Linked DNA regions of Schizosaccharomyces pombe. The protein of the gene in region 4 binds, or shares a complex with, the protein of the main gene of each other region. Each region holds a gene or a part of one and is shown on either strand. Other genes may lie near its edges.

What was found.
Region 1: mrpl37 (region 4) and mrpl25 share a complex: the UniProt entries of both Schizosaccharomyces pombe proteins name them as parts of the mitochondrial large ribosomal subunit.
Region 2: mrpl37 (region 4) and mrpl15 share a complex: the UniProt entries of both Schizosaccharomyces pombe proteins name them as parts of the mitochondrial large ribosomal subunit.
Region 3: mrpl37 (region 4) and mrpl1 share a complex: the UniProt entries of both Schizosaccharomyces pombe proteins name them as parts of the mitochondrial large ribosomal subunit.

The regions. Positions count from the first base shown.
Region 1 is NC_003424.3:4,990,810-4,998,106, forward strand, and holds mrpl25 (mitochondrial 54S ribosomal protein mL59), read right to left. Parts: upstream 3,699-7,297; 5' UTR 3,636-3,698; coding exon 3,237-3,635; intron 3,126-3,236; coding exon 3,087-3,125; 3' UTR 2,815-3,086; downstream 1-2,814. Other genes in the region: lipin, phosphatidate phosphatase Ned1, read left to right, coding at 337-396, 467-748, 897-2,525; meiotic recombination protein Rec24, read right to left, coding at 5,221-5,954, 6,095-6,362; rga9 (RhoGAP family GTPase-activator protein), read left to right, coding at 6,808-6,910, 6,966-7,126, 7,179-7,297. UniProt on the Schizosaccharomyces pombe protein: Component of the mitochondrial ribosome (mitoribosome), a dedicated translation machinery responsible for the synthesis of mitochondrial genome-encoded proteins, including at least some of the essential transmembrane subunits of the mitochondrial respiratory chain.
Region 2 is NC_003423.3:4,359,986-4,367,610, reverse strand, and holds mrpl15 (mitochondrial 54S ribosomal protein mL57), read left to right. Parts: upstream 1-3,819; 5' UTR 3,820-3,928; coding exon 3,929-4,561; 3' UTR 4,562-4,729; downstream 4,730-7,625. Other genes in the region: arg41 (argininosuccinate lyase), read left to right, coding at 844-2,226; SPOM_SPBC1539.02 (uncharacterized protein), read right to left, coding at 2,435-3,595; SIN component scaffold protein Sid4, read right to left, coding at 4,769-6,636, 6,857-6,971. UniProt on the Schizosaccharomyces pombe protein: Component of the mitochondrial ribosome (mitoribosome), a dedicated translation machinery responsible for the synthesis of mitochondrial genome-encoded proteins, including at least some of the essential transmembrane subunits of the mitochondrial respiratory chain.
Region 3 is NC_003424.3:1,788,232-1,795,998, forward strand, and holds mrpl1 (mitochondrial 54S ribosomal protein uL1m), read right to left. Parts: upstream 4,221-7,767; 5' UTR 4,013-4,220; coding exon 3,251-4,012; 3' UTR 3,169-3,250; downstream 1-3,168. Other genes in the region: ftp105 (Ubp5 interacting protein Ftp10), read left to right, coding at 1-215, 268-1,461; protein saf5, read left to right, coding at 2,394-3,047; poly(A)-binding protein Crp79, read right to left, coding at 4,362-5,720, 5,792-6,266, 6,358-6,535, 6,621-6,741. UniProt on the Schizosaccharomyces pombe protein: Component of the mitochondrial ribosome (mitoribosome), a dedicated translation machinery responsible for the synthesis of mitochondrial genome-encoded proteins, including at least some of the essential transmembrane subunits of the mitochondrial respiratory chain.
Region 4 is NC_003421.2:1,252,319-1,259,923, reverse strand, and holds mrpl37 (mitochondrial 54S ribosomal protein mL54), read right to left. Parts: upstream 5,607-7,605; 5' UTR 5,380-5,606; coding exon 4,960-5,379; 3' UTR 4,698-4,959; downstream 1-4,697. Other genes in the region: bye1 (transcription elongation regulator), read right to left, coding at 1-1,290; SPOM_SPCC645.12C (uncharacterized protein), read left to right, coding at 1,652-2,248; protein mug117, read left to right, coding at 2,431-2,991; cca2 (ATP/CTP tRNA nucleotidyltransferase), read right to left, coding at 3,131-3,274, 3,334-4,644. UniProt on the Schizosaccharomyces pombe protein: Component of the mitochondrial ribosome (mitoribosome), a dedicated translation machinery responsible for the synthesis of mitochondrial genome-encoded proteins, including at least some of the essential transmembrane subunits of the mitochondrial respiratory chain.

The DNA.
Region 1 (7,297 bases), on a different chromosome or scaffold from region 4:
GTTCTCCTAATATCTTTACTTTGAGACTTATGCGTGGGACCCTGCAAAAACAAGAATGGTCCTTAAAATCCAAATTTCATAAAAAAATCTCTATTTTTTCTAAACAAATTATATATCTATATAAAAGAAAAGAAAAATGTCGCTTTTTCCAAGTTCAGTGTTATGAAGTTCGGTGGTTTGTTTACATTGCTTACTTTTGTTATAGTATGGGACTGTAAGGTCAAATAACGTAACAGACCGCAGGGACCATAGATGTTGCCTCGCCCTTCCTCCCACGCTTTTGCTCATAATGGTATGCTAGTCATCCCATTTACCTCTGTTCGTAGCTGCTGCACGATGCAATATGTAGGACGAGCGTTTGACTCTGTTACGAAGACGTGGAATGCAATTAATCCAGTAAGTTCTCAATAATTAGAAATGATGGGTTAAACAATTGAACAAATATGCTAACAGTGTTCGTAAATAGTCGACTCTCTCTGGAGCCATTGACGTGATTGTGGTTGAGCAAGAGGATAAAACATTAGCATGTTCACCTTTTCATGTTCGCTTTGGAAAGTTTAGCTTGCTTTTGCCCTCAGACAAAAAGGTTGAATTTTCGGTCAATGGTCAATTGACTGGGTTTAATATGAAACTTGGGGATGGAGGTGAAGCGTTCTTTGTATTTGCTACTGAGAATGCAGTTCCACGAGAACTTCAAACATCTCCCATTGTGTCGCCTACCACTTCGCCAAAGCAAACACCATCCATTGTATGTACAAAAGTAAACTGGGGCTGACTTGTCCGGTGGAAAACAGTTATGTGCAATATTTTAATGAATACGGTATCAGAATTCTGCACAACTACTTTCGGCTTTTAGTTTATCTCAATCACGAAAATTACTAACAGTCTTGCTTTAGAATGTCACTGAGCCTCAAGATCTCGAGCTCGATAAAGTATCTCAGGATCATGAGAAAGATCAATCGAATACCTATTTGATGGAGGACGGTTACGAGTTCCCTCTTACTCGAGATTTAATTCGCCGTTCGAAATCCGATGCCGATCAAACACCTCCAACCGGCTTTAAGCACCTTCGACATTCGAGTTGTTTGGAAATGGCTGGAAGTGATAGAACTCCGTCGATGCCTGCAACAACGCTAGCAGACTTACGATTGTTACAAAAGGCAAAGGAATTGGGGAAAAGGCTTTCTGGGAAAGAACTTCCTACACGTGTTGGGGATAATGGTGATGTGATGCTTGACATGACAGGTTATAAATCTTCTGCTGCGAATATAAACATTGCAGAGTTGGCACGGGAAACATTCAAGGATGAATTTCCCATGATTGAAAAGCTTCTGCGTGAAGATGAAGAAGGTAATCTGTGGTTTCACGCTTCTGAAGATGCCAAAAAGTTTGCGGAGGTCTATGGACACAGTCCTCCTGCAAGTCCATCTCGCACTCCTGCGTCTCCAAAGTCCGATTCGGCTTTAATGGATGAGGACTCTGATTTAAGCCGTCGACACTCTTTATCTGAACAGTCTTTGAGCCCAGTTTCCGAGTCATATCCTCAATATGCTAAAACCCTTCGTTTAACCTCTGATCAGCTTCGTTCATTAAATTTGAAGCCCGGTAAAAATGAGCTTTCCTTTGGAGTCAACGGGGGTAAGGCCATTTGCACTGCTAATCTTTTTTTTTGGAAACACAACGATCCTGTCGTTATATCGGACATTGATGGAACAATTACCAAATCTGATGCTCTAGGGCATATGTTTACCTTGATCGGCAAGGATTGGACTCATGCTGGAGTTGCCAAATTGTATACCGATATCACTAACAACGGCTACAAAATTATGTATTTAACTAGTCGTTCGGTAGGCCAAGCCGATTCTACTCGACATTATCTCCGGAATATTGAACAGAACGGATACTCTCTACCCGATGGTCCTGTTATTTTATCACCTGATCGCACTATGGCTGCTCTTCATAGAGAAGTAATTTTAAGGAAGCCAGAAGTATTTAAAATGGCTTGTTTGCGTGATCTTTGTAATATTTTCGCCTTACCTGTTCCTCGAACACCATTTTACGCCGGCTTTGGCAATCGTATTACAGACGCAATATCTTATAACCATGTCAGAGTTCCACCAACTAGGATTTTTACCATTAATTCTGCTGGCGAAGTCCATATTGAACTGTTGCAGCGAAGCGGTCACCGAAGTAGTTATGTTTACATGAATGAGCTTGTCGATCATTTCTTCCCTCCCATCGAGGTTAGCACCCGAGATGAAGTCTCAAGCTTTACTGATGTGAATTTTTGGAGATCTCCTTTGCTTGAACTTAGCGATGAAGAAGAAGACGATACTAATAAAAGCACATCCAAGTCGCCCAAAACACCCAAAAATACGAAATTCGGATATCAAGAATTCGAGGGGATTGACGAGGAAGATGCTCAAGATTATTCTCCTAGTCCATTGATTAAGTCTTTCAATGAATTAATGTTTGAAGGTGAAGAAGATGAAGAAGGAGAAGAAGACGTTGAAAATGCTGTTTGAAGTTGCATTTTCCCAATTTCCGATGAAAAAAAAATTACTCGACTGTCCATCTTTTTTTTTAATGCCCCAAAATCTTAAAATCACTTTGACGAATTTCCGTCGGCTTTGAAATGCACTAATAAGCTTAGAAAGTTACATAAATCATATAATGACTTACTTACTCATTCACAAGTAATGAGTTTTGAGAAAGTGCTAAATATTTTTTTTATATTTAAATGCGCTCTTCCTAAAAATTAAAGATAACAAGATACTTCATAATGAAAAGTTACGAATAAATCACATTCTAAAATCCTAAGTCTGCAGATTCAAAACCTAATATTTAAATGTAATTTAACTATTAAAGTAGAATCATATTATTAGTAAAGATTACAAAAATGTATAGACTAGTATATTAGTCTTTTTATCATGCTGCACAATAAAAGACTTTTAGTAAACACATAATTGAGGTAATATAGCAGTAAATTTAAATGAATCTTTAAAAAAATTTAAGGAAGTCATAAACAAACAGGAATCAAAAGGTATTAACAGTATTACGTGAAACCCACTTTGCAGAAGAAGAATTTAGAAAGGAGAAGGTTTCGCTATTTTGCTAGCTTTTTGCTAAAAAGAGTGTTAATAAAGACAATTAAAAAAATAATAATAGTAAATTTTTCACAATCAAAATCAGTAGATAGAAATAAGAAAATCATGAAAGTACAACAGTTTACATACGCGCTCATTTTTAAATTTAGAAGTTTTCTTCAATGATTCCGAAAGTTTTAAACGCCTATTTTCCAAAATCTCATCCCTCTTTCGTTCACTAATTTTTCCTTTAGGATTCAGAAGACCTTTCAAAATATGGCGTGTAGAATCTTTCTGCCATGACATTTGTTGGGGGAGTAAATTATCCAGATTCTGAAGCCTGGCCTCTTTATATATTTCAGCTTGCCTTCTATTGGAATAGTAAGGGTTGATTACAAGGCCATTCTGAGGATTTCGAGTTGCGAGAAACGGATTTTGACGATTTGGATTTGTCGTCCATGCATTTGGATTTTCAGGCGGAAACTTTTTAAAAAAGTTTCCTAATTGGATAGGAAGCCGTTCCAAAGCTTCCTTGGTAAAGACTGGCATGATAAGGTTAAAACCTCTTTAATCTATAGAGAAGCTCAAAAAGACAGTGAGTCAAGCACTATTAGTATTAGAAAATACATTGACCTAAGATGTCGGCAAACGTTTAACTGCGCTATATTACGTTAAATCAATCATTACTGTTCATTCTTGAGTTCTTAATCGAAACTTTTCATCGTTTGAAATATTAAAAGAGTTTATTATCTCAGACAATTCTAAGCCAATTTATTGACTATTAGCGTTTATTAGGTCGGACTAATTCTTAGTTACTCAATTTAGTTCCAATGGATATACTAATTAATATAATATTACGGTGTAGCAGTACTATAGTTAATAAATACAAAATTATCCAGGGTATTATTTTATACAAATATAAAAATCACTAACATATTTCGTTATTATGTATATCGTTGTTAAATTAGCAACTATACAAACTCCTTAAAATATTTTACATACTGCGTAGATGGCTTCCTCTCGCATTAGTCCCTCTACCTTAGGCATCTTTGTTGGGTTGCGTTATTTAATTATTGAAGGCTGACAGTATGTGTGATTGTGTTCCGCCAACGTAGCATTCAAACGCTTTCAATCATTATCGTTTTTAGTTGTGATTGCTTCTATGATTCCATCAAATGAGGCCCGTTCAAGTAAGCTGTGTGTGGTTATAGAGTTTCTGATGCCAGTAAAATTATCATATCAGATCATGTACGGATTCCTACTGACACATGTTGAGAGTAAGCAAAAAAAGCTCAATCATGCTTATTTTGAGTATTTTAAAACATAAATAAAAGTAAAAATTATTGTAGGAAAAGTCCGGTCATCTCTCGATGACTCCAATTAGTGGAGAATATAAGAAATACTAAAGGAATTATTTATAATGACATGTAACGCAGTGTGACATAAAGTTAGTAGTGCATAGAACTGTTGGTGATATCAAGTTGACAAGGAATCGATAAGACGCTCTTTAATGTTGAATATTAATAAGCCCTGTAAGTATCCCTGTTCTTCTAGTTAGGTCTATAGCTGAAAAACCTTCAATTCTCTGGAGCTTGTGTGGTTTTATCCATTATCACTTCCTTCGATTTATCCCTCGTAAGGAATAGGATAGCAATGCGTATAGATCAAATCGCGGATTATGAATGAAGGCTTGTGCGATAAATTTCCTTTACTTGATCAATAATCTTGTTGTCAACGCGTTGTATTAAATGCGCTTTATTGGAAAAGAAGAAACATAGCTTGTTGATTGAAATTCCAAAGTTTCTTGTAAACGAATTTGGAAAGCACTTCTGTACTTGAAAATAATACAAATTGGCCACTATATATTCGCTTTTTTTGTTCCTTTGTTTCTTTTATCCATCAATTTTTAAAAGCAGAAAACCTTTCCCTTATGCCCAAGATTTAAAAGGGAACATAATATCAAAGTTCATCGAATGGATATGATGATCAACACTTTCACCACAACGTTCTTTGTACATTGAATTTCCAGAAAAATTCCACCAAATGTTGTGAATATTTTAGGATAACAAAAGGAGTCAAATTGGAAAGGCAAGAAATGAATGTGTGTTAAATAGTGGCCCTCAATATATTACTATTAGGAAATGTCTTCGGGAAATAGCATATCTTTGAGGCCAATCAAAAGGATGGATGGAGCAGAGTAGGCACTCTTAGACAACTCTTGTTTATCAGTTTGTAATTCTTCATTTGTGATTATGTCTCTTAAGATTTGGACACATTTGCTTGCGGCAGATGAAAGCTGAGCATCGAAGGAGTGTAGACAAGGGAAGTATATCTCAGCGTACGAAAAAAAACATTCACTATATAACAACCGGATAGATGGGTTATCGTTTTTGCAATATGTGAAGCATATTTTCATCCGTTTAACAATTTGATCTAGTAATTTTTCCAATTGCTCTACGGAAGCGAATGAGAGCTTGTTAAATATCAGTTGCTCCAAAAATACGTAAAATTCCAAAAATTTCGCTCTGGAAATCACTCCAGTTCCATTGTTGGCATTGTTTTGCATAATCGACTGCGTGATTATAATGAGATCCAGTACATAATCTCCCAATTCAACTAGTCTTGTTAAAACCAACGGCGACTTACAATCTCTTTTAAGAAACATAAAAATTTCTTCGAATAAAGTTTTAATGCGCAAAAAATCCGCACCCTCGTATACTTTTGTTTGCTTCAACTTTATGTCAGCAGTGCATTTTAAGAATCGAAAAAGTCCATTAAACGTGTACTCAATATCCAGATGCGCAAGGCTTCCGGATGTTTGCCTCTTTTCCTGAAGATTCTCGTGAACATTGGTCAGCAAAAAGATATCTAGATTGGATTGTTAACGAAAGAAAATTCATACTATTTTAGATCAAAAAGGCTTTCTTTAATATAACTAATGCTTTAGATATAAGAAGATATACCGGCCTAGTATTGATGGATTTAATAAGCATCGTGCAAGTACTTACCCATATCCTCGATTTTTTTAGAGAACGGTTTGGCTTTTAAAGCCACACACTCTGTAACATTACTATTTTTCAAAACAACATCTTTTTTCGTCTTTGGGCGCGGTTCCAATAATGTTGACGCGTATTTTTCGCAATGTTCCTGATCCTCAATTCCTTTCCGCAATGCTTCTATGTAGTCTTTGATATTTTTTCCTTTCGGTTTTTTTAAAATTATCTTCCATGCTATTGCTATTTTCAGTGTCTCTCCCGACGAATCGTACGTGTACATTGTCTGTATGAGTATTTGTTTACTATTGTCTTCAGTATTTGTGCCATTCATTACAGTTTACGATGCTTTGTACTGCACTATGTAATTTGGTTTGTTTACATCTCGTCGCGACGAACCCACTTAAATACCAACATCTACATGACTCTTTACAAAACCAAAATTACATATTAATCACTGTGAATAATATTTAATACCGCTTTCTTTGTAAGTGATTTTTTGAAGAAGTTTTTCCTTCAGTCCTTCTTGGATTATTTGGAGTTGTAGGAGAATTCTAATCCTCAATGTCAATTTACTGATTTATCTGTAATATTTTTTAAACTAACGTTTTTAGATTAAAAGAGAACTCTTTTGTAACTACCTTTAATCTATTAATTAGCTGGCACTCAACAGAAGTACATAGATATACTTAAGTGTATTGTACATCAGACATTTTTATCAAAAAGATATGTGGGACGGCTTTTCAAATTCGTTCTGGTCAAGGGATTATATTACGGGAATAAATCGTGCCCAACGTTTAATCAACGAAGGTGTTGAACAAAACGAAAAGCGTATGCACATGAATTCTTCTTCTTGTAATAACTAATGATTTAACAATACGTTTAGTATTACAGTTGTTACATATTAGAGCAAAGTCAGCTTCATCTTGTTCTGACTTGCTGTTCAAATCGTTTTCAAAATTCAATAAGCACCATCCTTTAAATGAAGAAAGCAATGATCTTCCTTCTGATGCAGCCATACACCAGCTTTATGAAAGCTATTTAATGGTATACTTTCAATCGTTACTCTTATGGTCATTATCGCTAATATTTACAATAGGAAGCGTCGTTGCACAAGAAGCTTGGGGAGCAATTAAATATATTGGTAATAAATCCTTTTGCAAATTGGTCAAAGAAATATTCTAGAAGGGTAGATGAAATCGTTTCAGCCGCAATTGT
Region 2 (7,625 bases), on a different chromosome or scaffold from region 4:
CTATATGTGTTCATGCCAAAAGAAATCAATAATATAGTTGACAATTTGAAATGCAGTGTATAATTTAAGGCAGTAAGAGACGAAAGTAAAGAGGGAAAAGGAAAATCATGTACTGTTATCACTTTATTCTTCGTTGATTTTCTTCTTCTTTATAATCCCACTATATTTGGTGGATTCATAAACTCGGTTGGTCCATGTTTATTTTAATTGATTTTCGTTAGCTATCTTAAAAGAAATTGGGCGGAAGATGCATCATAATGTTTAAACCAGTTTAGTCTGATCAGACACTAGTAAAAACGAGAAAACAATACTTATCTACCAATGAGTTTTCAGGCATCTATAAATATCGTTCTAATAAAAATCGAAAAAACAATCACAACTAACAAGAAAATCTTTTAAGAATTCTCAATCTTTATAACAGTCAATTTTCTTAAATCTAAGCTAATGCTCGCGAAATTCTTTGGTAGCTCTGAGTTAATAAATCAGAAAGACAAAACAAATCATTCAGGTTGAGTACATTTATACAGTAAGATTCCAACCAAAGCTTCCATATATGATATCTTTTGTAAACTTAAGGAAAGAAATAACGAAGCGGAATGTAAACATTTATTAAGTGTTTATACGTTCCAATACGTTAGATCTTATTATAGCGATTATAATATCAATTTCATATCTATCGCCGTATCGTTAATGTGATATAACAATAGGTTGCGATAAGGAAGAGGTTACACGGTCATATAGCCATACTCTCAAAAGATTAGATAAATTAAATTTTAAGTAGTACTACCTCCTTTTTGCGTTGGTTGAAAACTTGAAAAACTGACTCTGTTTTAACAATTCTGAATGGCTTCTTCACAAAAACTTTGGGGCGGTAGATTTACTGGCGCCACTGATCCCTTGATGACAGCTTATAATGAGTCTATTCATTATGACAAGCGCATGTTCAATGCCGACATTGATGGCTCGAAAGCTTATGCTAAGGCATTAGAACAACGCGGAATCATTAGTGCTGATGAATTGGATAAAATGTTAGATGGTTTAGAGGCTGTCCGAGATGAATGGAAGACAAATAAATTCACTCTTCAACCTTCTGACGAAGATATCCATACTGCTAACGAGCGCAGATTGGGAGAAATAATTGGTACAGGCATTGCTGGTAAGCTTCATACAGGAAGAAGTCGCAACGATCAAGTTACGACCGATATGCGCCTTTGGCTACGTGATGAGTTGGACATCATCCAAAAATCTTTAGTTGGGTTACTCCAAGTTTTTGTTGCTCGTGCAGAGTCTGACCTTGATATCATTATGCCCGGTTACACTCATTTGCAAAGAGCCCAGCCTATTCGCTGGTCCCATTTCTTATTGTCTCATGCCTTTTCTATATTAAATGACTTGGATCGCTTGAAACAAATTTATTCTAGAGTCAACCGACTCCCTTTAGGCGCTGGTGCACTTGCTGGTAATCCTTTCGCCGTAGATCGTAAGTTCTTACAAAAGGAACTTGGTTTTGAAGGGGTTATTATGAATTCAATGAATGCTGTAGCTGACCGCGATTATGTTATTGAATTTATGTTCTGGGCTAGTATGGTAATGACCCATATTTCCCGTTTGGCAGAGGATCTTATTATATATTCTACTTCTGAGTTCAACTTCGTTACCCTTTCCGATGCTTATTCAACTGGAAGTAGTATTATGCCTCAAAAAAAAAATCCCGATTCTTTAGAACTTCTTCGTGGAAAGTCTGGCCGAGTTTTTGGCAACATGATGGGCTTTATGGTTTCGGTTAAAGGGATTCCTTCAACATATAACAAAGACCTCCAAGAAGATAAAGAACCGCTTTTCGATTCTTCCAAAACTGTTTTGGATTCCATTCAAATTCTAACCGGAGTTCTTTCTACTTTAACTGTAAATCCAGAAAATATTGCTAAGAGCTTGACTGCGGACATGCTAGCGACTGATTTGGCAGAATACCTTGTGCGTAAAGGTGTTCCCTTTCGTGAAACTCATCATATTTCCGGGTCCGCTGTCCGAATGGCCGAGGAAAGAAACACTACCATTGATAAGCTAAGTGTTGAAGATTTTAAATCGCTACACCCATTATATGAAGAAGATGTTGCAGATGTTTTCAACTATGAATCCAGTGTGGAGAAGCGTTGTGCGATTGGTGGTACCGCTAAGAGTTGTGTATTAGAACAAATCCAAACCATTAAAAAGGCCTTGGAGTAGATAAGTTTACATGAAATGATATGGATATACTTACTTTTTCTATATGTTCGTTTGATCATTTAACAGGGCTTCCTCAACATAATTCCCCGAATCGAGGTTTTTTGGTGTAAAACGGGCAAATAAATAATTGTAGCCTCATAATAATATTTTAAAAACACGTAACTTAAATCTTAAATCGTAAATATTCATACTGAATGAAGTAGTACTTTTAACCTTTCGTCTTTCTCCTTTTAACATTATCATCATCGTCAGATTCCCCTAACTCGTGAATATCTGCTGTATCGTCTTTTGATAATACAAGCCCGAAACCTGCATCAACAATTTGTCCGTCTTTTCCTTTCTTTCGCTCTTCTTCTTCTTTGCGTTCCTGAACTTTGGCAAGTCGATGAATTTGAGACATAAAATTCGTAGGTTTAAGATCGCTATATTGATTTGTATCAAAGACTTTCTTATGATAAGGCGCATCCAATTCATGATGACCTTTAAGCTGAAAAGCATCCTTCGCCTTCAACTCAGCAGGCTCTTTATCATTTTCATGAAAAGGATCATATTCTCCAACCTCCTCGAAAATATCGAGCTTCAAATCAACTGGTGGAAGTGGTATATCATGCTTAACAAAGCTTTTCCCTAAGCTATTAGCGTTCACGTTTAATTTCTCGGTTCTATGTTCATTTTCTAAACGTTCATTATCATTTTTTAACTTTTTTTCCTTCTTCACAAGCCGTTTTAGGATTTCACCATTTTCATCAAGCAAATATTTAACTTTTTTTCCATTTTCCAAAATTTTACGATATTTCGGTTGTCCATTAGGATAAAGAGGTATCTTCTTTTTTTCTTCTAGAATAGAAACAGATTCAGGATGTGATGACTCCTCAGCAACTTTCTCTAAAAGCTTGTCTGCTTCTTCGTCAACTTCTTTCTCACTCGAAGAAAGCAGAGAATCATCCAAGGCTAGCTCATTAGAGCGAACTTTTTCAAGCAATTTTCGATCAAGACCACGCACGAGATGAGTTGTATTCAAATCTCCGCCTAATTCTTTAGATTTTTCTGAATATTCTTTTGTCGTAATTTGGCCATTGCGAAGTTTCTCGTGCAATTTGTGCAACTCAATATCCTGTTTGGAAGAAGGCTCTTCATAAAATTGAGTATCTTTCCCTGAATTTTTTGCATTAGAATGTCTCGTAATGTCTGACGATGTAGAATGACTTAGTTGTTTTCTTTTAATTAGGGCTCTGGGTGCTTCCAATTTGGCCGTCTTATGTTTACGACCAAAAACAAGTCGCTGACTTTTATTCGATGAGAAATTTTTTAACTGGGAGGTTTCGGCTTTTGGAGTAGCTAAAAGCTTTCTGAAATCATCTTGGTTCATTGTGACAAATTTTCAACCAAAACTTCAGTATCCTTTCAATTAATTGTTTCTTTGGAATAACTTTGTAGTAGTTGTTTATATACACTTAACAGTAAAACACAAAATAAATTGTAAATTATTGAAACAGTTTGATAACATTAGCATACCTTGACGTTCGTACACTGTGATCTCAAGCGTAGTGCGCTATTTTACTACTTCGTAATCGGCCAATGTTTTTTAAAAACAACCTATATTCTAGTTGCAGAAAACAGATATCTTTTCTTTCGAAAAGTTGATTTTCCATACAAGGGTTTGAGGAACTTGAAGCTCTTTCTAAGATTTTATGCCATCCGTATGTTAACAAGACATTGTAATCGTTTAGGACTTCAAATTGAAAATAAATTTGTGTTCAGATCATCATCATGGAATTGTGTCCGTCGAATTGGGAAAATTGCGTGTAATGAAAATAAGTACAGATATGAAATGACATCTACAGAAGAAGACATTGACAGCTTTTTCAGTCGTGTTTTTGGTGAAAAAAATTACATCTCAGACAAATCTCTAAGAGAACAAATTGTAACTCATAAATCTTATAAACATGGGCTGAAAAGATATAATGAACCTTTCGTTTCGGTTGGAAATGCAGTTATCGATGTTTGCTTACTTAATCATTATTTGGAATCAGGAAACTTTAGCACAATACCTTCATACAAGGATTTAGTAAATCTTCGTTCCCCTGCTCGACTCGCTGAAGTTGCAAAAAAATGGAATCCTGAAACTGCCACACAATGTATTTTGCCATTAAAAGGGCCTAATTCTCCATCTTCGTCTAGTTTTGAAAAGATATACAGTAGTATTGTTTCCGGACTTGTTGCTGTCGTTTACTTCCAAAAAGGCGGAGTTGAGGCTATGAATTTTTGTAAGAAAAGCATCATATCAGATTTGACAAAAGATTTCGTGAGACCTAATACCGTGCATAATCAATAAGATGTGTAGCAGCAGGATAAAATTCTTTATGCAAAGGATGCCATAATATAGTACATTTTGCCATACGCTTATTATTACTATCGATTTATTTAACGCCTCTTTCATTCAGTCAGTAGTTAATAATATATTTCATATTTATCAACATTTGTATAATATAAGCTGCATCCCAAAATCTTATTGATCGAGTTGTAAGTCATTGGCATCCATTCACAAACTACGTTTTTTAAGCTCCCTTATCTTTTTCAGCATATCTGCTAAACACTGTTTTGAAACCAAACCGTCACGCATATTCTCCTCGTATATTAGATAATGGATATTTCGTGCCCATTGGTAGAGTCTACGACCTTGTTGCAGCTGGCGTCTGACTTGTCCGATGGTAGAAGGAAAAATTGCAAAAGGGATATTTAATTGGACCAAAACTGTTTTCAACATGTTGGCTGTTTCAACACTACACTGTTGATCTATATGCTGAAGGCCTAGCCGATAATAAAGTTGTTTTTCCTTAGCCAGATTAAATCTAGAATCAGGCATATTTAAGGAAGTAAGAGGCTGTGAGGTATGGAAAGTAGGGATGGTAGATGAAGCAGGTGTTGAGTAGCTTTTGTTCTTTTCGATCATTAACTCACTTTCATCTGACAATTTTGCATCAAGATTATTGGTATTAATAACATTTCTTATATCATTTTTTGCAGGGGCTGTAGACCCGTCATTCAGCATAGTATTCTCCTTATTATTTCCTTTGTCAGTAGTCTTTGTGGTTATTGCATTTTTTGAGCTTTCATTTGATTCTTGATCTCCATTTTGAGAAGTATGCCGAAGAATTTGTATCTCTTTACGGGCTTGGGTAAGTTCCTTACGCAAGTGCTCAAATTGCAAAAGAATAGCATCAAGTGTTGATAGCTGAACTCGTATTTCACTTGGAACCGCAATTTGAGATTTTTCATTATACCTTCCGTTGCCTTTAAGGTTAAAATCATTGCTAATAGTAGCAGATCGTACCTGCTTCGTATCAGGTTTTTGCTCTTTAAAGTCTTTTGTGCTTTTAGGGAATCGTTTTGGAGGACAAAGTGGAGTAGAAACAGTTGTTGACATTGTTGTGGGACAATAATCCTGCTGATTCATAAGCAATTGCTTGGTTATATTTTCAATCTGTTTATCTCTTTGTTGGCATTGATTTGATAAGGATTGTATTGTGGCATTCATCTCCAAAACAATATTAACAAAAGAAGGAGGTAAATCGGTAATGGCTTGTTTAAAAGGATCGATGTCTTGATCATTCGACGACATCTGTTTATTATTAGAAAGATTTTCCTGAGCCTTTTGACAATCCGTAGATTGGATAGGTTGACTAATAGAAGAAACACATGTAGATGAAGTAAGAGGATAGCCAGAAGGCGGTACTGGATATGACTCTGGTACAGTTTCCAAATGAACATTCCGATTTTGAAGCTCCGGCTGTGAGAAATGTTGTTGTGGATAACCTGAACTCAAAGAAAAATTAGGCTCAGGATTATATTGATTAGGGCGAGTGACTGGGGGTGGTACGTTACGGCTTGGTGGAACCTGTAAACTTTTTTTAGTCTCTTTAGATTGCTGATTAAACACTTCAGGGTCCAATCCATCTTGTTGATTAGGAACACTAATATTATCTCGTAGCTGTCCTTTTGGACTTTGGTCATAAGAGCTGGTGTGTGATTGAGAAGGTGGAAATGAAGGTGAATTGGAGTGCATATGACGAGCACTAGGTGAATCAATCACTTTCGGGGCGACATTCTTGTAAGGTGTACTAGTATAAGATGCTTTCTCCGAGTTAAACGAAGGCTCATGATGTCTTTGAGCATTTTGACTATTATCACCAAGTTGATGACGCGGATCCAGAAATAAGTTGTTTGAACCTGGTATTTGCTCTAAAGGAAGTCTTGTAGAGTCATTGGGGTTCGAAATTTCTTTTTTGGTGTTTTCTTTAATCGTAGTACTATTTACGCCATTAACAAGCTCACTTATTTGTTCATCGTTAAGTCCATCCAACAATTCAGCTATTCGATCAATTCTAGCGGTACGAGACGGATCTGCATCTACATAATATTAGTTACATTTTCAGTTGACAGACTTTTCGAAAAAGTATATGGACGTTACAGGTGAATACCCTTCAAGCCAAAATGTATGTCATAAACCAATTTCCCTCTTAAAATAGAAAACATTTAGTTCATCTACAGATGGAAGAAGACGGCATGAGTGTAATTACCCAGTGTTTTCAAAAGTTCACAATACAAGTTGACATTAAACTTTACCTACCTTCGTCAAGGGAGTCAAAGTATATACTGTCACCCGCAGATGGATGACTATCAAAATGAGAATGACCTAACCATCGGTAATCTGTACTCAAACTATCACCAAAAGCCTCATCCATTCTAAAACATGATTAAAAGGTTTAGTTTGTGAGTAGCTGACTTAAAACTAATATTGTTACCCAAGAGTGTAAGTCACATGCTCGAAATGTAAATAAACACCAGATAATAACAAAAAGTTGTTAACTAATTATGAGTATATAAATCATTCAAATGTATCATTAATTCTTGTAAATAAAAAGTTTTTCTATTAGAGTTACTAGAAAAAATGAATGAATTTGAAAAAGTGTAAAGGCAGACATAGCCCAAATCCGAACTTCTTGAAAGTAATGATTCTAAAGCCATTATATTTTCTAGTACTTAAACTTTAGTTTAATTTTATATTTATTGGAATTATTTTTTTTTCTAAAATACTCAAGTGCCCATAATCACTGAATTATTTTCTTTTTATTTGTAATAACGCAGCAAATATTTTTCCCAAATCGAGTATATAATAGAAATGTATGCGATATTTTTGTTACTGCAGTATTAATTCTATTTGTTCTAAACATTGTCCATAAAATTCTTTAAGATCACAGCTTTTTAATTCCACAATAGGTTATTTCTATTTCAATAGTTTTACTGGTTTCGTTGTCAATGAAATCAATAGAAAGCCATGAAGTGATTCACAACTTGAAAAAAATTTGTCTTATATTAAAAAATAGCGCTACAGAGCC
Region 3 (7,767 bases), on a different chromosome or scaffold from region 4:
AGTTTTTAACTTCTATTCAGTTTTATGCACTTAGATATCGTGAAGACAATGAACATTCCGGCCTTGTTCGCATTTGCCTTTTTATCGTTCATTATTTATCATGCGAGAAGGTTCTTTGTGAAAAACTAAATAGAAACTGTATGAATGCACAATCATTGATGTCTTCCCTTGGGTTCTCAGTCCCACCAATGTCTTATGCAGAGTTTTTGATTATCGTAAGATTCACGATTAATTGTTTATTTTAATTTTATTACTTACGCCTTCCAGTCTAGCTTTCATATTTCAGCAGTGAAGAGATCTCCGTTTAGCAGTTTATCTCCTGTTATATTGTTGACCATATGCAATATTGCACCATTTGTTGAAAACCTAAGTTTCGTTACGTGTGCCAAATTAATGCAACTCTGTTCATCTCTTTCATCTCCTCGGTTTCTTTTTCGTAATCCGCGCAATCATCTGCTTCTTGAATACCTGTTACAGGCTATTTCTAGTATAGTTGAAAACAAGTTTTCTCAAAACCCTAATCTCAGTTATTCTATTATTCGCCTCCAGCAAGTTTTTTTGAATCTTAATTCTATGAAACTTCCTGCCGTTGCTCAGACTAAATCACAGCCTTTAGTGGCCCTCAATTCGGAAGGAAGTAGTGATTTTGAATCTAAATCATCCGATAACACCTCCTTAGATGGAACACCACTCCAAAATACTGACTTTAAAAAAGTTGCTACCGTTGAAGATGATTCACCTTTCGATGAATTAGATAAATTTTCCTCCCCTTTTAGTAGCAGTAGTTCACGCGGTGGCTTATCACATATTTCGAGTAGAAATGTTTCGATTTCTGTCCCGACAGTCCTTCAAGATGTATTCTCAGATTCTCCATTGGTTCTGTCTAGAAAGTTGCGTGGGAAAATACCGGAAAATGTTTCTAGTTCAGAACTTATTAAAAAATGTGCATCCAATCCGTTTGGAAAAGATTTAGAAATTGACTCAAATTTGTTTGCACCTTCCAACTCGTGGTTTAATTCTTGGCATTCAAGACTTGAATTGGATTCTATTCTAGCCATTATATCTCAGTTTTCTCTACCTGTATACAAGAAAATGAATGAAGAATTATCAACTACTGACGAAGCTGTTAAACTATTAGCTAACTCTGTGCTAAATGATGTACATCCTCGAGTTCCCAATTTTCGCTACTTTATTTGGAGTGTCCCTATGAATAATTGGTTTCAAAGTCTTGTTTGGCTTTATACTTTGTCATTTGATGAAAAAGGTTTAATGGCTACTCCCTCTTTATTTACAACCTCTAAAGTGTACAAACAACATGGAAATATCATGAAAGTTGCATCTCCTGAAAACAGTTCTAACTCAATGGAGAATGCCACAAAATCTATACTTGACAAACTCGATTTGCTGTATTTACAGCTGCCAAGTAGTGTCAACCACGATTCCAGTTTACGCAACAAGTGATTCTTAAATTCAATGCGTAAATTAAAGTATACTTTTGTCCTAAAAAATATTTGAAGAAAACCCTGCATGCATGTTATGGTATCTTACTTTGAAAATTTATTGATTAAATTGTTCACTAAAAAATTATCTTGGAGGATTTGCATCCACATACTGCCATCATTTAATTATATACTGATGACCAGAATCTTGCCTTGCTAATTTTGATTTTTGAACTTTTCGATTTGTTTTCATTCTATTAATTAACTAAAAACTGGCTTGGAGAATCTTCTGCTCCAACCTTGTCACTAGCTTTAAAAAAGTCTTTCGAAGTTTGATTTGGAAAGTTGGTGTTTGAAAGTCAATCTCGTATACTTTAGAAAGACCCACCTTTATGAGAGAAACGATCCACTGATGCTAATTCATTACATGTATCCAAATCAATGTATAACCTTATATAGCAATGAATTGGTTGCTAAAAAATTCTTAGCTTTATTTCGCTACACTTATAAATCTGTTTACTATATAAAATAAAAAATCCAATTTCAAAAGTTTTGAGTCCCAATTTTTTGGGTAACGAGGATTACTTCATAAAGACCTTAGACCTTTCCTTTATTTTTTCCACAAAACTATTTATATTCATGAGTTTGTTTTGTAATTGCAATGAATAACTAGCTTGTCATTTACGAAAATTGCATATCAAAAGTATTTGAGTAAAATCGATATCCTGTTTGGCATAATGGTTCAATTTATAAAAAATTCGTGTGGTTAAGAGTAGAAATATATTTTCGATTTTGCGAAATGCTTAATATGCGAAGATATTGTATTTGAGTACTTCAAAAGAATACAACGCACAGTAAACCTTTTCTTTCAATAAATTATCAGGTAGAGGTGGCCTTATTACTGTTTTTTAATAATTTTTATGCTTAAATACCTATTGGAAGCAAGAAGTAATTATGATTACCAAAATTGACTCACTTCCAAAGGACCTAATTCGCAAAGTTGAAAATGGTGAAAAGTTGTTGCCAAATCAAGAAATCGTTTATTTTGAAGAAAAAACAGTCCCCTATAAAATTAGAAGTGATGAGGAAAGTTTTCCTTTGGGCAAATTGATAACTTTATTAGTAACTTCACAGAGCTTTATCCTTTTTGATGAAGAACAGAATTCTGGCTGGAAAATTCCATATGAAACCATTACTCTTCATGCGAAACAAAGCAAGGATAAGCCATATGTATATGTTCAATTAGAGGGTGAAGCCATTCGACCCTTGCTAGATCACATTCTTAAATTTGAACGGTCGTCAGGAACATTGCATGAAGCTCCTTCTACCGAAGATGAAAATGAATTCACAGATGATTTTTTAGAACTAACATTATATGTTACTGATGTTGATTCATGTTACCAGGCTCTTTGTACTTGCCAATCTCTACATCCGGACACTTTTTCCTCAGATAATGATGTTGAAAACGCGAGTATGGGAAACCCTATGTCCTTATTTTTTGATCCAAATCACCAGTGGGTTACGGCTGAAAACGTAGATACCTCAGCTTGTGATAACAGATTTGATTCTCCGGAATCGCCTGTTCTGAAATGGCATCGCACAGAGTAACTTTCATAATGTTGTATTCTAACGTTTCATTCATACTTTTTAAAAAGTAGTTTATGATAATAAATAAATATAAACAGGCTTCTAAATTTACTAGATAAAATATCATTACACATTTCACTAATTTGTACAAAATTAATCATGTAATACATATTACAAATGACAAGACTGTAGACTAAATTTCCCATGCAATAACATTTTAATCATTATTTATACTGGAGAGGAATTGCAATAGCATGTGAGGCGGAAAGATGAACATGCTTTACGGTAACTTTAACTTTTCCAGGCAGTTTGGCCAAAGTAAACCGAACATTTGATACAAGTGCTTCGATGTTTTCTTGTAGCTCCTTGTCGCTGAACCCTAGTTTTCCAACCGGCAAATTTATCGAGCCTGCATCATTTTGCCGATAGTCAACAGCTGTGAGGGCAGATTCAATGAGTGGCTTCAATTCATCTGATATAGTACCTCGTTTTATTGAAGGCATAAGACGTTTTGATCCTAATAATTTAGCAACTTGTGGTAGTAATTCTGCCGAGTTGGGATGAGCAAAGCACTTTGAAAATTCAAGGGGCTCTGTTTGAATTTTTTTTACTAAGTCTTCTGCACCAACATAGGTTGCACCCAATTTTAAAGCTTCATCTGCAGCTGCACCTTTAGCAAACACACAAATTTTAGGAGGCTCTTGAAATGGATGAGGAAAGGCAATTTGACCACGAGCTGACGGAGCGCGTCGATTACTTTTTAAAGCAATTGAAAGCATATAAGACCCAACATATGGAACAGAAATGCTCACAGATTTGAGATATTTTGTGGCTTCAGGAACTGTCATCGCAAGAGCGGGAAAATTGGATTTCTTGTTTAGTTGAGAAATAAACCTTTTGCAGAAACCCTTTTGATTTTTAAAATTTAAAAATTCATTATGTGACAATAATGTTTGCCGTTTACCTAACGCTATTAATGAACTCATGGTTTTTAATCTGGTTCGTCAAACTGTCACCAAGCTACTGGATGTCAGTCAATGAACCTGCTAAAATCATAAATCTCTAAACAAATCTGATCCAGCTGTCAACTTTCGAATTAATAAAGAATTATCTTTCAAATCAAATTTCCTTATAATGTTTTTGATTAAAGACTAAAAATAAACGGTTTCGTTTAAATTCCACGTTGTGGTAGTTGTAAGATACTGTAGGGTTATACTAGCAAATCCATCCGTTCACGATGTATATATTTTAAGGAGTTAAAAGTTTGTTCATCGGAGTTTTGAGGGATATAGCATTATGAATTTTGTTTCATAGTTATATCTTCACCGCATCTTGTTAAATCTGCGTCAACTGAATAGTTGTTGGTGAATTGTTGTTAACCTTTGTTGTTGATAAAAAATTTTCCTTATTTGAATCTTTAATATGATAGGAATTCATTTTTTGGATATTGGATGTAGCTTCTGGATAGCTGTCCATGTACCCGACAAGTGAAAGCATGTTCGTTGACTCATTACAGTCCTCATCTTGGAAATGTGAGGGCTCAACTGTTACGTACGTAAGAGTTGTACAGGTTGTTGCTCTTGCTCTTGGCACAAAGTATGCATTACTCAGCTTTTTGTTGTGAAGCATGTCTTGTATCTTCTTCAAGTTGGTGGCTGTTGAACCCATCTTAGCAGACCCTCGGTTATTTAGTTTTGTGTTAGCATGGAATACCAATGGTTTTAACAAGTTTCCTTGTTCTCCGTCATGGCTCAATTTTCCTGCTTCTTTCTTTATATCCAAGTTGCCTGATAACTGTCCACTAAGTTCCTTATTTTCTTGCTTACAGTTAACATATTCATTTGTCTGACTGGGTTCTTTGTTTTCACCAGTCTTAGGCTCATTCTTATTTTCAACCTTACTTGAAAGGGTCGTGGGATTCTCAGAGATTTTGTTTGTAGAAGACTCTATTGGCTTTCGGATGGTAACAGTAGAGCTTCTTTCTGGTTTGACGAACAAAGCTTTGTTGTCTTGCTGCGCTGTTTGTTCTGAAGTAGGTTTGTTTGCAAAAAATGCTTGCAATCTACGAATTCTGTCAGACTTTCGCTCCGCGAAGCAAACGAAAATCCTTTTTTTCCCAACCATCATTCCATTCAATGTGTCTTTGGCTCTAACGGCAGCCTCTATTTGACGAAACGCTACGAAACCATAACCTTTGGAGATTCCTGAATTTGGATAGCATGCTAACATGGAAGACAAAATCGACCCGAAGGGTGAGAATAAATCTTCCAGCTGACTCTTGCATGTGATGACGGTATCATCTAAATTTTTAACGTATAGATTTGAAGGGTCAATAGGAGAATTAGGGATACTTGGAGAGCTTTCACGTAAAGAGTCCCAATGCACGATTGACTGAGGTTTATTATCTGGGTTCCAAGCGGCTGGATGATTTTGCTGATTTGAAACACCGGTAGTTGAAACGCTACCCCATTGGCTTTTCTCCTTAGTTGGTGAGCCCATAATCCATGTCATCTTCGAACATGTAGCATTTTCGATATTTATTTGAGTTTTGTTAGCGTTTTCCGATGGGAAAGGCCATAAGCTTTCACCAGTCGGCGTTGTGGGAATTGACTTCACTGAAGAAGAGGCTTTATTTTTTATACTGACCTCTAAAATGCTTCCTTTGTATGGAACGTTATTTAATTTTTCTATTGCCTTAATAATGAGGTTAGTATCATGAAATAGATTATGCAAATATTGGGGTTTTCTCTTCATATTGAGCTTACATTTTGACATGATTCAACTGAATCCATAATCACTTCGCCATACCGGAACCCTCTTTGGTCAAGAAACTGGCTGACCGCCGTCCCTTTTACTACACCAGCCTGTTTAAAGTGGTTATATAAGTCAATCGGTGTGACTTCGGCAGGTAGGTTCAAGATACTAAGGGGTAACGTAGAAGCGAAGGCATTTGGTACAACTTGCATGCTAATATCTTCCAAACCAAGAGACGGTATGGTAAGCGTTGTTTCTGGCTTCGGGTTACGCGAATTTATGCCTCTCACAGTTTCCCAATTTCTTTCTTCGACATTTGGAATAAATTCCTTAATCTGAGACTGTTTGAGTCCTGGCTTAACGTTTTCCTCATCTGTATTGTTTTGGATGCTAGGATTGAACACGTTCGCAGTGATTGACGTATCGTTAGGTTTGAATTTTTTGTCTGTCAGTTTCGCAGGATTTACGACTCTTGCTTTAATGGTCCTTTTTTTTAGGTTAGTAATTTTTTGGAGAATGATTTTTCGATTTTTTTTTCTGTAATGCTTGTCTCTAATTTTTCCCTTCAGTCACTTACAATTTTCTTTGGCCCAGAGTCATTCCTTTAGCGTCCTTTAGAACTTCTTCAATGCTTTCAGCATTAACGAATTTGACGAACCCATATTGCACTCCATTTTTAGGAGGTTTAAAAGGTTTCGCTTTTTCCTTAGGATAAAAACTATCAAGTAATCGACGAAAGATGGATTCTACTTGTCCTAAAGAATTGATTAATATATCGCTTTTATTTATGTTTTCTAATGTTTTTCCTCGTGTTTTTATCCTTGACTTGTGTGTTCATACCATATTTTGAAAAGTGTTTGATGATTTCTTCATCAGAAAGTCGGGAATCTATATTTCCTACATATATAGTACTGCTTTCATCTTCATACTGTCCGGGGACAGAGAGTTTTGAATTGTTCATTTTATCTCAAAAAAGATGTGTGATGGAAAGGAATGGTTGTTGTTTTTGGTATATATAGGATCGCTGTTTGTTTACATTTCGATGATGCATGACTGAAACTATTACCACCATAACAAATGAGAGTAAACAAACCTTAAATTGACCTCTTAACATTTTTAGAGTAATATTTTTTGTTTTTTTTTAAAAATGCTTGTTTTATATTTACAACTTGATTTCCTAATATTCATGCAGTTTGGTTCATATCTGTTTTATCCATATCTCTACTAAATCCTCAAATCGCATTTATAATGACATTTTATTTTATTTTATTATTAAAGTCAATATTACCTGCTCGCATTAAAAAATATTTCAAATTCATACCATCCTTTTTTCGGCTTTCGCTGATTTCAAATTAAAAGTTGAATTTCCTTAAATGAATCAAAAAGCAATTAGGCTAATATTCTGGTGAATCCATTCATAAATTTTCAATTATTGTTGTTTTTGGCAAACCAACTGATATCGCACAACCTGTCAATAAGTTAGGTCAATCAGTTTATTACTCAAAATCCAGATGTTACTAAATTCTTTCATCTGCTTTTTTCTTTGGTTTTCTTTGATTTTAGAAGTATGATAGTTTAGAGCTTTACTCGCCTATATTCTTTGCTAACTAACTATACAGTATTTTACTGGCAAAAGGTAATAGATTTAGATAAAATAAGTTTGAATCGAATGACCATTAAAGTAAGTGAAAAGCAATAGGTGAAGATTTAGTGTAATCATTAAAAAGGTTATAAATGTTAGCAGTTCTCCAATATTAAGAGCAATTTATGTAGCTCATTTCAGTTCCTTCTAATCCATTTTAGACTTAAAGCTTCATTCTGTCGAATACCGTTTTCTTCAAATACTTGTATAAACCTCGGATTTTGTCACTGTTTATGAACAATGAATTCGTCTAAATTAACAAAATGCAAAATTCTTTGTTTTTTTGTTTTTATGATTGTTTGACTGAACAAATAAATAAACATATACAGATTTAAGGGTTAACAA
Region 4 (7,605 bases):
CGGTTTTGTGTCGTTAAAACTCCCTTTTCTTTTTGCAGCTTTATCACCATTAGATGTATCGTCTTCAGAAAGAGGATTATGTTCCGGTAAAGTAGGACTTTTGGAATCAATTGTGGGCTCTTCTTCTGCAATTGAAATTGGAGCTACAAGCTCTCCAGGAGGTTTGGGAAACATCGCATCATCGTTTTCCGCAATACCAAGTTCATCTTGTTGTGTAAGTTTATCTTCATCAAGTAAACGATCTCGTGGAGCAATCAAATGTTGCTTTATGACTGTGTTTTCAGTACTTTGTTGACGAATTTCCTCAGCTAGGTTCTTCAAGTCAGGATTAGCCATTTCTTCACTGGATAAGTTGACCAGATCGTTAAAACTAATTTCATTTTTTAACACGCGCGCTCGAAATGCCGGGTTTTTGTCATCAACCAAGTTGAATCGTAAAGCACGAAACTTCTCTCGATATTTGTTGTTCGGAGTTAACGAATGATCAGTTGTATACGAAAGCACCATAAACATAATATGCTCAAGCTGAAGCGCTAAGGATGTAGAATTAAGGTCTTCTAATCCTTGCACACCTTCAAGTTTTGCTTTCTCAATGATTTTTTCAAAAACGGAAACCCAGGCTTTGGCAACACTTTTTCTAACAGGGTTTTGAATTTCATCGATAGAAGTGTGTAAACTAAGCTCCTTTTCCTGATCTGCAGTTTCATTGGAAGCATCCTTAGGAGATGTTTTTGGTGCATTCTTGCTACGTTTGGTATGAGTAGCCGTCGTACCAACACTGCCTCTTCGTTTTCGAGTTGAAGGTGGAGAATGAGAACTTTTTGGTGTCGTGGAGCCAATAGGAGTCCTAGGAGATTGTCGACCAGACCTAGTAGTCATTCCAACATTAGAATTTGTCGAAGCAGGCTCGGATGATTCTAGTTCAGCGCCTGACTCTTTAGTAATCGCCTCTTTTGAATCAGAAGATACAACATTATTTTCTTCATTGTTTTTCTCGTTCCCTTCATTAGAGGCAAGTAAATCAGCTGTCTGATGCTCTTCATCCTTATTGGGAGAATTTTGTACTTGTGATGAAACGTCGCTTCGCGAATGACAAACTTCACAATAGTAGCTTTCAGGTATATCCTTATCCGCTAATCCAACGCAACTGGCATGTTGCCAGCAATCACACCCATCACATTGAACCCACGTATCGCCAATGTCTTCTTGCGATTTACAAACACACCGAACAACAGTTTCAGGAGGTTTTTCTGAGGCTTTTGCCGTCCTTCTAGTGCTTTTTCTTACCATGCTTCGTTATTATGGGAATAAAAAGTATTTTGATCAATGACATCTGTACTTCAAGGTTAATACATGCAATTCGAATAACAAGTGATTGAATGCGTACTAAATAAACTGAGGAGATTAAAATATATGCATAACTAAACAAAAGTCGTTCCTGAAGTGTTTAATATCCTCACAAAAGCTCGTCAAGAGTTCTAAAAAACAAGGTGTTGGCAGGTATGGGTTATTGGCAAGTGGCAGCAGTGTTGTAGTTTGTTATAGCAAAGGTGCAAAATCTGCGAAAACTAAGGATACATGCTATTTTATAGTTCGAATGCAATATTTTACGATTAAATGTGAATATTGTTAGAAAAGGAGCTTCAAAAATATGAGTAGTGCACGAGAGTTACTGAGGAAAGTAAAACAAGAGCGATTAGGGCAAAAGCGAGGTCTGAAAGCCTCTAGTCAAGAACTGAAGCGTCAGAAGACGAGAGATCATAAATCATTTGAAAATTTAGGTCGTGATCAATCTCGTGAGCTGGCAGTAAGTGATTTTAATGAAAAGCAATCTACAGAACCTCCTAAGGATACACGAGCGGTGTCCGCACTTCCAGAAAACTTTTTTGATGAATCTATTGCTAAAAATAAAGAACTAATTGAAGAAGAGTGGAACGATTTTCAAAATGAGATTGGCATTATTGAGGAAAATGCTGTTGAACAAGAAATAACACTCCAACAGCAACAGTTATTGGCCGAAAAGGATGAAGAAAATGAAATTGCAGATAATGATTTAGAACCAGAAGTTTATGATATTCTTTATGAAGAAGAAAGCAAATTGGGTGAGTCGAGGGATCTTATCCGTCGTTTGAAACAAAAAAGGTTTGAAACTAAAAAAAATAACTTTTCTGTTAAAGAATCTAGCAATTTATCTAATAATGACTCGGATGCTTCACTAGATGAAGACACCTTGCTTTGGGGTTTGTAAAGCTCTGTTTACGATCTTAAAAACAAACAAAAATATTGACACCAACTAAAAGAATACTGTTTATATTACATATTCTTTCCTTAACCAAAAGAAAAATATTAATTAATTAAGAATAATTGCAAATAAGAAGCATTGCTTTAAACACTTTTGCATATTTAATATATATTAATATTTCGGAAGGAATGTGGAAATTTTGTTGTGTAACAGAGAAATTAACTTTGTTCCTATTCATATACGGAATCTGCATTTACATATGCATTGCAGTCCCAATTAGAAGTGATCTTAGTACTGTCTTTGAGCCAGAAGCAAAAGGCTCTCGAATTACTTCAAACTATCGAAGAAGTTTATTTAACATGCTTGGATATGATAATTCGGTTCATCCTAATAACTGTAAGGGCTCATTTCTTTGCCCTATGCTTCGAGGAGAAAATCGTGCGTGTCCGAACGCGTACATGAAGTATAATAGATCCTTGATCTACCATGGATATTCTTCTTATACAGCTAGTTCTTGCACTGCCATTTATGAGTGCGAAGGTGATTATCCAGCACGCACAGGCAACGAAATCATTGATGAATTTGATCAATTAAATTTGCAATGTTCCGCTTGTGGAACTCGTTTTTTTAATAATGATAATGAAAACACAAGATGCTATGTCAAATTGAACTACTGTTATCCAGACTGTACCGAAATTACACCAAGCACCAGCGAATACGATTATCGAGAGCCGGTTAGAGATTGGTAATAATAAGAGGAAAGGATCCATTCTGAATTAAGCATAAATATCATAAATACGAATTTCCAAAAAGGACGACGATTACTGGTGACTTTTATTCTTTTAATCTTTTGTGCGATTAAGTTATCTAAACAGTGATTGTCTTTTCTTATATTTTTAGGGATTGAAGGTATGCAACACAATCTTCGACACTTCCTTCAGGGTGTTTAAATTGCCAGGAAATCATGTTATCCATAGTCTCTTTCAGCTGCGGGCCAGGCTTAACTCCCACATTTTTCATGATCTGTTTTCCCTAAAAAATTGTTAGCTTATTCGCTCAATATTGTTAACAGAAATAAAAGAATTACATACGTCTAATAATGGCTTCATGTTATAAGCATTTTGTAAATTTTTGTCATAAATAAAGTCATATAGAGATTTATAAGAACTAAATGTATTTGATACAGATGCTGCCGGTGTTTTACAACAACTATATATGACCGATGTTAAAAACACGACTTCCCAGGATTTATTCAATTGTCGTATTAAGCTGCCAATAGATGAGCAATTTTTAGTGGAAGTATCGTTAACTAATTCATCGAATATCGGATTGAATGTGCAGCACTGATTCAACTGGTTAACATATGTACTTCTGAGCTTCAACTTGTCTTTTGCGATGATTGCAGGAATATAAAATTGTTTTTTCTTAACCATAACAGTTTGACTAGACCATGGAATTAGAGCAACATATAGCCATAGCCCAATTTTCTCATCTTCACTTAATTTCATAAGTTTAGGAAACGTCAATGCAAGACTCTGAAATAAAGACTCGGTAGCTTCCAATGCCTTTGGAATTTGAAATTCTTTTTCAGCTGGCAAAGTATCGAACGTAAACTGATACGTGTTCGTTGAATATAACAGTTGAAGTGCTAGCTTCGCGTTTGCACCCTTCAACATTTTCTCAATTTCCTCTCCTACACGTTCCTTGCTAACCTTTTTTTCAAAAGCTTTACATACTTTCGGATCTTGGATAGCGGAAACGACCGACGGATCAATTGTAAATTCAAATCTGGATGCAAACCGAATGCCTCTCAAAATTCGTAAGGGATCTTCCAAAAATGATTGGAGAGGTGAAATGGGCGTGACCAACACTTTGGTTTGCAAATCTTTATATCCTCGCTTTGTAATGTCCTCTATTTTTTCTGTTCGTATGTTAAAGAATAGGGTGTTAACCGTGAAGTCTCTTCTCAATGCATCTGTTTCAACAGTTCCTGGGGTAACGCTAGGAATTCGACTTTTATCATCATATGATTCTGCACGAAGTCCTACAAAATCAATATCAAGGTCAAATAGGGATAAGGTAGCAGTTTCTAAATGCTTGCTTTGATCGGGATTGACAGTTAGCTTGCCAAGTGCGTCTTTATATGGAATAACTGAGTCAGAGTCGAGAGAGTGAACATACTCAAATATTGAATTTGCAAAGTCAACACCGGTAACTTTATTCAACGTAACGTCTAAATCGTCACTAGAAAGCCCAAGAAGTTTATCGCGAACCCATCCTCCTGCCAATCTAACTTCCAATGACGAACTGCTGCTGGATTTAGATTCAATAAAATCAGCAGTCTTTTTCAAAAGATTAACAACTTTTTTCTCAACATCGTTCAATACAATTCTAGAATACATTTTCGTCAGCCAAATTCCATAAACGATACACAGTTTGGGCAATACCGGTTTCTCTAAGGTTGGCAGGTTGAGGTTTGAATATGCTTCTCTTAAAGAAGGACATGTAGTAGTAATTTTTTTTATGCTACAAATGTATATCACTGATATAAGGTTATTTAATATATTTTTATTTTAAAATGATTTTTGGATTCTGGGAAATGGTAAAGTAGCGAATGTCATATGCCTCAAAAAAAGTAAACAAAAAGAATGGATCAAATGCTCATAAGGATAGAGAGGAGATGGAAAATTAAGAGTTTCAAACATTCTAAAAGGTAATTATTTTTTAGTAAGAAAGTTAGCCGCTCGAATGGCACTTTTACGAGCATGACTTCGGGCAGTCTTAGAATTGGGAGCTGGCTCATCCAGAAGAGACCATAACCATTCTGGATATTCATGATCTTCACGAGCTACAGGGTCGACGCCACCCGCCTTTATACACAGTCCCTTTAATATAGTACCTGGAAGGACAGAACTAGTGTGCGTTTTATTAGCGACTTTTTGAGCTGAAGAAGTGGCATCCGAATTATGCTGTGGCTTTTTGGGTGAAACACGAGAGGATACATAACTTCGTTTAACTAATGATGAAGAAGAGTTACGGGAACTTCTTAAAACCAATGTGTTAGAGTAGCATGAGAATTGAGAGATACCGCGAGTAATTGCGCGCGATAAAGGGGCCATTGACTCGATAAATGGCATTGCTTAGACAGTAAACAAAAAACTTTGCAAGGAGGATAAAATCTTTAACCAAAAGTGGATCAAAGGCGATGAAAAAGGTCAATAGTAACGCCTTCGCATATATAAGGAGCAAATACGTCCTGCTCTTTGAGTGAAAAGTTTTAGAGAATAATATTATTTCAAGTACTATAGGAAATAAAAAATGACTCTATAAAGAGCCGCTTTCAAAGTTCAAGGAGTTTGGTTATGGGACAACCTGGACGTTACTATACAACTCATGTACAGATGGGTAGCAGACACAGGTACATGTAAGGGTTTCAAGCGTCTGTTTACAATTTGGGAATCAAAATAAAATTTTTGTTTTTGTTTTTTTCATAATTATAAACTATTGCTAAGTTCAAATGGGGTGTCGTTCTAACAAGAATGTCATTAAGTTTACAATAATAATACCAAGCACGCTTGAGTACTATAGGAATACTTATGAAATAAAGTAAAGCACAATCTATCAAGTGAGACTCTAGAAATGTTAATCGAAAATTGTATTTGTCTGTGTTCGACTATGTAAGAAAGTCAAAGAAATAAAATAATATGATTTATTTTTACAATAAATCATTAGCACATTAGAATATTTCTACTTCATTCATTTTTCTCAACTTGCAATGTTTCTTCGACAATCACTTGATTGTTGTAAATGGTAAAGAACCATTAGGTGTTATTTGGGATATTGAGGAACAATCTAGTAGTACGGTTTAAATAAAGAGAACATATATAGATTTTAGAATTAGTATTCAATTATGTTTAACGTTATGTCCTTCATTCGATACGTCAGAATTACCATTTTTTTTACTTGCGAAATGTACTTATTCCACACAGTTAGCGACTGATCCATTGAGGATCGAGAAGCGCTTGCAATCACTTTTTGTTAAAGAAAAATAGATTTACAATAAATTTGACAAATTGTACTAGTCGGTGTCTTAAGTCACTCGGGACAATTGAAAAAAATAAATCACTGACTTGCGAACTCTTCTTAGTTAATAGTTACACCTTTATGGGTGTTTTCTTAAAATTTCGCCAAGTTTTACTTTAGATAGAACATAAATCATTTAAAGTATTATCCATCTCATGAAAACAATAAAAAATCTGCAAGAAGATCAATAAACAAGCTTTAACCATCAGGTTATTCTCTTACTAGAATTTCATTATTTGCCTCGATAAATTCCTATAACATATTTCTCTAAGGCTCTTCGATATTCATTTTACAAATAAAAAAAATCATGCCGACAACGGCAGGATTCGAACCTGCGCTCCCAAAGGGAATCCGCTGGGCTACAGAATAGCAGGCGAACGCCTTAAAACCACTCGGCCACGTTGTCCTCCGTTGAGACGATTAGTATTAAGTAGATTATGTATTTAAATTTAATAAATTTATAAGAGATTATTTAGTGTACCGAAATAGTTTTAAATTCATTTATTTAGTATATTTTTGCTTATAACATTTCCGGTTCATTTTGGAAACGATTTAAATAAAGAAATTTTACAATTTTGTAAAAATGTATGCTTTCAATGTACAATTACGATTTTCCCTATTTTGCTTTTCTTACACTGAAGGAAATGCTTGTGATTTCCTCGATCAATATTTGATATCCTATTTTTTTCCCTCATTTATTTTCTGGGGGTTTTTTTTTCTTTCATCCTGTAGAGAAATTGTATATACTTTCTGTTTATTTCTATATTACTATAAGATGGGGATTTAGTTTTAAATAGTAATGAACCAAATTAAATTACATTGAACTTATCAATAGTATTATGCTTTGTGCTTCTGCGATTTATTTTTTTTATTTTTTAAAATTATTTTAATTTATTTTTGATGATTCGGGATTGCTTGTTAAAATATTCTCTTGTCAGCTTTCTACATAGTGCCATTTAAATATAGGTAAAAGATATTGCAATTGAAATCAACATATCTCCTAGCACAATATTAACCATTTGCGAATCCATTTAATAAATAATGCCTATTCCTACCATATGCATTAAAAAAAAAAAAAAAAAAAAAAAAAAAACACTTTGAATATTTATTTAAGCAAAAAGTATAATGTTTAATAAATGGTTCCATGAGATTTGATAAACTGTTCATTTGATGGTGTTTGACCTTTATATACTGCTTTAAATACACGTTGGAATTATCACAAAGAACAAGAACTTGTTCAGAGCTAGGATTCGAAAATAGAAATAAGTATATTTACACTG